2 linked regions of the Arabidopsis thaliana genome follow. The protein of the gene in region 1 binds, or shares a complex with, the protein of each later gene. Each region holds a gene or a part of one and is shown on either strand. Other genes may lie near its edges. A codon is read from its position in the direction of its gene.

Region 1 (3,756 bases):
GTATGCGAAAATGATTATTTTCAATTAGTGACTGATATCTTTTGCAAGTCTAAAATAAATATAATATATTTTATTAACAATTCGTGAAAAGTCTTTTTATTTGATGGCAAAATACTACATGGTTGTTCTTTTTTTTTGTTGCAACCATGTAATGATTAATGGTGATATTGTTGGTTGGTTGGTAGTCGAATGTTATATGGTTATTATTTTTTTGGTTGCAACCATGTAGTGATTGATAGTGATACTGTTGGTTTGCTACATGGTTACTCCTTCTTTGGTTCCAACCATGTAGTGGTGGTTGATGGTGATATTGTTTGTTGGTAGTCGAATGCTACATGGTTGCTCCCTCTTTGGTTGCAACCATGTAGTGGTTGATGGTGATATTGTTCAGTCGATCATAAAATATATGATGCATGAAGAATATAAATTATTGAATTGTTTTTCCTTGCTAAAAAGTTAATAAAAAACAATTTATCCTAAATACTCTTATTTTTTTGTAATTATGTTGTTAAAGGGTCTAAATTTTTATATATCCTTTTATCTTATATAAATATATATATATATATATATATATATATTATTTTATTGTTTATATATATGTAAGTAAATGATTGTGTATAAACAAAATTAATACTGAAAAAGACTAATTTTTAAAATTTGTACCAAAATTCCAGTTCTATTGAGCCGGTTTTGGGTGTATATATAATAATATATTATAATATATAATAATATATTATAATATATCGTGTATTAAAATTTAAAGGTTTATTACGAAATTTTAGACTTAAGATTGAATTCTATCATCTAGATTATTAAAGTTAAATAACTTATTATGATCTATTATTTTTATCATTGTAGACACTCTTTTAAGTGGTAAAGTTTAGGTCTAAAATCTATACATGTTATATAACAAAATAAAGAAAACACCAAAATTATTAGGGTTAACGAAAATAATATGTGACGTTACAGAAAAGAAACTTGCGCATTTTTAAAAAAAAAAAGTTGTACAAGGCGAGAAGCCTTAAAAAGCGGCACAGAGACTTCTGTAGATTTTTTCTCACGTGCACTTGCCATGTGTTGAATATTCGACAAATTTTATGGGCTTTACTCTAAGCCCAACTTTTCCTCTTTAGGCCTTTCTGCGCTGTTGCGTCAAAAAGACAAAAACTTAATAGATTTAAGAAAATCAAAATGATTCATTTTAGTTTCGGTATTTATCCTTTTGCATGTCATTGATCAATACGTTTTGAATCATATTTATAAAGATTGAAAACTATAGTATATGAAATCTTTATTAAAGCCAAACCAAAAGCCCCACTTATTTTACGTATTTGTCTCTGTCGAAACGCAGATTTTATCAGACAAGTGGCACCAAACTAACTAAAGAATCAATATTGTATTAGGCAAAAGAAGAAAAAGATAACAAAATTAATCATTTTCTTAGAGTTGGGTAGGTCACTAGAGGCCCAATTATTACTCACTAAGCTAAGGAGGAGTACTTAAGTTAAAAGATGCCACTGCATAGCACTGAGACCCTCCAAATAAAGCGAATAAAAATTAATAAATTGATTAAAAGTATTAATCTTCCACTCTTGTCCCACAAAATGCGACCTAATTTCTTGGAAAAGTTTATTCAATTTCTGAATAACAAATAATTCACAGTTATTCAAATATTTATACAAATAAATTATCAGCTATATTTAAAATCGTTACTAAAAAATATATTTAACCAATCGGTAGTAATCTCGTGGTACAAATATCAATTATCCATTTTCAGATCAAATCATTACTATAACTATTTTAATTTAAAAACTATATATATATATATATATTATATATCAACTTTTTATAATGTGAATCATAAGTCGACTATTAAGTTTTGATATATGATATTGTATGTTTTTTTCTAACAAAATCATAAACAAATCACATCTTATATATATGAGATTCAGATTCTCTATGTTAAAAAATAAAAATTACCGGAATATTCCCCTCAAGCATCTGACGTGTCGGCCGACGATGAAGAATCCAGGTCATCAAAAGGTGTAGTTTAGAAACAGAGGCGCACGATAAGGTCAACTTTTGGAATAGAGGAAAAGACTCAACCTTTTTTATCATCTCTCTCGATTTGTTTTTCTCCCGGTGGTGATGCTTTTGTCGTTTCATCGTTCGTTTACTTCAACTTGCTTATTATTCTACGCTCATGGACTAATCAAAGCCATGAGGAAAAAAAAAAAAGCAACAACACAAAATATATGTATAAAAAAATAAATATCTCTGCTTTTTTTTTTCAATGATGGGTACGCTTCACCTCTAAGTTTTGACCAAAGTTTTTCTTCATTTCTCTCTTCTCTCTTGTGGTCACCGTTTGATCGGAATATTCCTTTTAGAATGCCAAGATTCATTCTTCATCTCTCGAGCTCCTCATGAATTTCTTCTCTGCTTATCAATGGAGGTTGGTTTTTGTTTCTCATGTTATCTTTTCTTGCTTTGTGAAGTCCTTAAATTTTCCAATTTTGGTTTTTAGTTGTTGCAACTTTCTAGTTTCATGGGTATTACTCTATTTGGCTATGTTTCTTCAAAAGGCTCTGTTTTGGAGAGCTGGGTTTTCTAAAGTTTCAACCTTTATTGCTAAAACTGAAACTATAACTACTTGTTTATTGTGTGTGTTAGTAAGCAATGCAATTTTAGAGATATGGACTGGATCTATATATCTATTGAAAGCTGAGCTAGAGAATCTGTTTCTTGAATTCAATAAGCTTGAGTCTGTAAATTGTTGATTTACAGATGATGAGCTCTTCTTCTTCTACTACTCAAGTTGTATCATTCAGAGACATGGGGATGTATGAACCATTTCAACAGTTATCTGGTTGGGAGAGTCCTTTCAAATCAGATATCAACAATATTACTAGTAATCAGAATAACAATCAGAGTTCTTCAACAACACTTGAGGTTGATGCTAGACCAGAAGCAGATGATAACAATAGAGTGAGTTATTGTTTATTCCTGGATCATGCTTTAGAATGATTTATAAGTGTTGTTTGTTTGGTGATTGATGGTTAATTATGTTGCAGGTGAATTATACTTCTGTGTATAATAACTCTCTTGAAGCAGAACCGTCGAGTAATAATGATCAGGACGAAGACCGGATCAATGATAAGGTAAGGCTTTAGCATTTTAAGGCTACTTATACCTTTTGCTTCGAAGACTTCATAAACTCCTCCTTCTCCATTTTAATCTTTAGAGGAAGAGACACGGCGTGATGACATGAATTGTTGTTCCTTCTCTATGAACAGATGAAACGGCGTTTGGCTCAGAACCGAGAAGCTGCTCGCAAAAGTCGTTTGAGAAAGAAGGTAACCTTGGTGGGATTTTTTCTTGTGTTAATGATAAAAAGGAAAGCTTATGCAAAGTTGTGTCTGTGCTTGTAGGCCCATGTTCAACAGTTAGAAGAAAGCCGGTTGAAGTTGTCACAGCTCGAGCAGGAACTTGTAAGAGCTAGGCAGCAGGTTAGCTCAAGCTTGTTTATTTGTTGTGTGTTCATCAAACTTTATCTGATTCATTCTGACTCAGTGATTCTTCTGGTTTGTATTAGGGATTATGCGTACGCAATTCTTCAGATACTAGTTATCTAGGACCAGCTGGGAATATGAACTCAGGTTGGTGTTTATATCACTAAATAAGCATATGTTAGCATTGCTTTATCTCTTAATCCTCAGTAGATAAAGAAGTAATTTTCCCAATAATAACCATTTT
Region 2 (3,756 bases), about 16 Mb from region 1:
TCAGGATTAGTCAGATACGAAGGGAAGCTAGGTGCTATTCGTCAGTGGACAAACAAAGATCAAGAAGATGTTCACGAGTTATGGGTTTTAAAGAGCAGTTTTGAAAAGTCGTGGGTTAAAGTGAAAGATATTAAAAGCATTGGAGTAGATTTGATTACGTGGACTCCAAGCAACGACGTTGTATTGTTTCGTAGTAGTGATCGTGGTTGCCTCTACAACATAAACGCAGAGAAGTTGAATTTAGTTTATGCAAAAAAAGAGGGATCTGATTGTTCTTTCGTTTGTTTTCCGTTTTGTTCTGATTACGAGAGGGTTGATCTGAACGGAAGAAGCAACGGGCCGACACTTTAAAAAAAAAATAAAAAAAATGGGCCGACAAATGCAAACGTAGTTGACAAGGATCTCAAGTCTCAAGTCTCAATTGGCTCGCTCATTGTGGGGCATAAATATATCTAGTGATGTTTAATTGTTTTTTATAAGGTAAAAAGGAATATTGAATTTTGTTTCTTAGGTTTATGTAATAATACCAAACATTGTTTTATGAATATTTAATCTGATTTTTTGGCTAGTTATTTTATTATATCAAGGGTTCCTGTTTATAGTTGAAAACAGTTACTGTATAGAAAATAGTGTCCCAATTTTCTCTCTTAAATAATATATTAGTTAATAAAAGATATTTTAATATATTAGATATACAATAATATCTAAAGCAACACATATTTAGACACAACACGTAATATCTTACTATTGTTTACATATATTTATAGCTTACCAATATAACCCGTATCTATGTTTTATAAGCTTTTATACAATATATGTACGGTATGCTGTCCACGTATATATATTCTCCAAAAAAAACGCATGGTACACAAAATTTATTAAATATTTGGCAATTGGGTGTTTATCTAAAGTTTATCACAATATTTATCAACTATAATAGATGGTAGAAGATAAAAAAATTATATCAGATTGATTCAATTAAATTTTATAATATATCATTTTAAAAAATTAATTAAAAGAAAACTATTTCATAAAATTGTTCAAAAGATAATTAGTAAAATTAATTAAATATGTGATGCTATTGAGTTATAGAGAGTTATTGTAAATTTACTTAAAATCATACAAATCTTATCCTAATTTAACTTATCATTTAAGAAATACAAAAGTAAAAAACGCGGAAAGCAATAATTTATTTACCTTATTATAACTCCTATATAAAGTACTCTGTTTATTCAACATAATCTTACGTTGTTGTATTCATAGGCATCTTTAACCTATCTTTTCATTTTCTGATCTCGATCGTTTTCGATCCAACAAAATGAGTCTACCGGTGAGGAACCAAGAGGTGATTATGCAGATTCCTTCTTCTTCTCAGTTTCCAGCAACATCGAGTCCGGAAAACACCAATCAAGTGAAGGATGAGCCAAATTTGTTTAGACGTGTTATGAATTTGCTTTTACGTCGTAGTTATTGAAAAAGCTGATTTATCGCATGATTCAGAACGAGAAGTTGAAGGCAAATAACTAAAGAAGTCTTTTATATGTATACAATAATTGTTTTTAAATCAAATCCTAATTAAAAAAATATATTCATTATGACTTTCATGTTTTTAATGTAATTTATTCCTATATCTATAATGATTTTGTTGTGAAGAGCGTTTTCATTTGCTATAGAACAAGGAGAATAGTTCCAGGAAATATTCGACTTGATTTAATTATAGTGTAAACATGCTGAACACTGAAAATTACTTTTTCAATAAACGAAAAATATAATATACATTACAAAACTTATGTGAATAAAGCATGAAACTTAATATACGTTCCCTTTATCATTTTACTTCAAAGAAAATAAACAGAAATGTAACTTTCACATGTAAATCTAATTCTTAAATTTAAAAAATAATATTTATATATTTATATGAAAATAACGAACCGGATGAAAAATAAATTTTATATATTTATATCATCTCCAAATCTAGTTTGGTTCAGGGGCTTACCGAACCGGATTGAACTTCTCATATACAAAAATTAGCAACACAAAATGTCTCCGGTATAAATACTAACATTTATAACCCGAACCGGTTTAGCTTCCTGTTATATCTTTTTAAAAAAGATCTCTGACAAAGATTCCTTTCCTGGAAATTTACCGGTTTTGGTGAAATGTAAACCGTGGGACGAGGATGCTTCTTCATATCTCACCACCACTCTCGTTGACTTGACTTGGCTCTGCTCGTCAATGGTTATCTTCGATCTTTAACCAAATCCAGTTGATAAGGTCTCTTCGTTGATTAGCAGAGATCTCTTTAATTTGTGAATTTCAATTCATCGGAACCTGTTGATGGACACCACCATTGATGGATTCGCCGATTCTTATGAAATCAGCAGCACTAGTTTCGTCGCTACCGATAACACCGACTCCTCTATTGTTTATCTGGCCGCCGAACAAGTACTCACCGGACCTGATGTATCTGCTCTGCAATTGCTCTCCAACAGCTTCGAATCCGTCTTTGACTCGCCGGATGATTTCTACAGCGACGCTAAGCTTGTTCTCTCCGACGGCCGGGAAGTTTCTTTCCACCGGTGCGTTTTGTCAGCGAGAAGCTCTTTCTTCAAGAGCGCTTTAGCCGCCGCTAAGAAGGAGAAAGACTCCAACAACACCGCCGCCGTGAAGCTCGAGCTTAAGGAGATTGCCAAGGATTACGAAGTCGGTTTCGATTCGGTTGTGACTGTTTTGGCTTATGTTTACAGCAGCAGAGTGAGACCGCCGCCTAAAGGAGTTTCTGAATGCGCAGACGAGAATTGCTGCCACGTGGCTTGCCGGCCGGCGGTGGATTTCATGTTGGAGGTTCTCTATTTGGCTTTCATCTTCAAGATCCCTGAATTAATTACTCTCTATCAGGTAAAACACCATCTGCATTAAGCTATGGTTACACATTCATGAATATGTTCTTACTTGAGTACTTGTATTTGTATTTCAGAGGCACTTATTGGACGTTGTAGACAAAGTTGTTATAGAGGACACATTGGTTATACTCAAGCTTGCTAATATATGTGGTAAAGCTTGTATGAAGCTATTGGATAGATGTAAAGAGATTATTGTCAAGTCTAATGTAGATATGGTTAGTCTTGAAAAGTCATTGCCGGAAGAGCTTGTTAAAGAGATAATTGATAGACGTAAAGAGCTTGGTTTGGAGGTACCTAAAGTAAAGAAACATGTCTCGAATGTACATAAGGCACTTGACTCGGATGATATTGAGTTAGTCAAGTTGCTTTTGAAAGAGGATCACACCAATCTAGATGATGCGTGTGCTCTTCATTTCGCTGTTGCATATTGCAATGTGAAGACCGCAACAGATCTTTTAAAACTTGATCTTGCCGATGTCAACCATAGGAATCCGAGGGGATATACGGTGCTTCATGTTGCTGCGATGCGGAAGGAGCCACAATTGATACTATCTCTATTGGAAAAAGGTGCAAGTGCATCAGAAGCAACTTTGGAAGGTAGAACCGCACTCATGATCGCAAAACAAGCCACTATGGCGGTTGAATGTAATAATATCCCGGAGCAATGCAAGCATTCTCTCAAAGGCCGACTATGTGTAGAAATACTAGAGCAAGAAGACAAACGAGAACAAATTCCTAGAGATGTTCCTCCCTCTTTTGCAGTGGCGGCCGATGAATTGAAGATGACGCTGCTCGATCTTGAAAATAGAGGTATCTATCAAGTCTTATTTCTTATATGTTTGAATTAAATTTA

The links.
Region 2: the proteins of TGA3 (region 1) and NPR1 are in contact, whole or in part, in a cryo-EM structure (PDB 7TAC), measured with the Arabidopsis thaliana proteins. Residues at the interface, in NP_564156.1 of Arabidopsis thaliana: His195, Ile196, Asp198, Glu263, Pro264, Thr266, Asp267, Gln268, Gln269, Thr351, Thr352, Arg353, Gln354, Arg357; in NP_176610.1 of Arabidopsis thaliana: Asn269 (codon at 3,221), Lys272 (codon at 3,230), Ser276 (codon at 3,242), Asp277 (codon at 3,245), Asp278 (codon at 3,248), Glu280 (codon at 3,254), Leu281 (codon at 3,257), Leu284 (codon at 3,266), Leu285 (codon at 3,269), Glu288 (codon at 3,278), His290 (codon at 3,284), Asn307 (codon at 3,335).

Annotation. Positions count from the first base shown.
Region 1 is NC_003070.9:7,787,202-7,790,957, forward strand, and holds the start of TGA3 (transcription factor TGA3), read left to right. Parts: upstream 1-1,931; 5' UTR 1,932-2,449; coding exon 2,450-2,455; intron 2,456-2,787; coding exon 2,788-2,988; intron 2,989-3,074; coding exon 3,075-3,161; intron 3,162-3,296; coding exon 3,297-3,356; intron 3,357-3,431; coding exon 3,432-3,509; intron 3,510-3,595; coding exon 3,596-3,659; intron 3,660-3,756.
Region 2 is NC_003070.9:23,853,989-23,857,744, reverse strand, and holds the start of NPR1 (regulatory protein (NPR1)), read left to right. Parts: upstream 1-2,086; 5' UTR 2,087-2,337; coding exon 2,338-2,898; intron 2,899-2,977; coding exon 2,978-3,713; intron 3,714-3,756. Other genes in the region: AT1G64290 (F-box protein-like protein), read left to right, coding at 1-351. UniProt on the Arabidopsis thaliana protein: Salicylic acid (SA)-binding substrate-specific adapter of an E3 ubiquitin-protein ligase complex (CUL3-RBX1-BTB) which mediates the ubiquitination and subsequent proteasomal degradation of target proteins.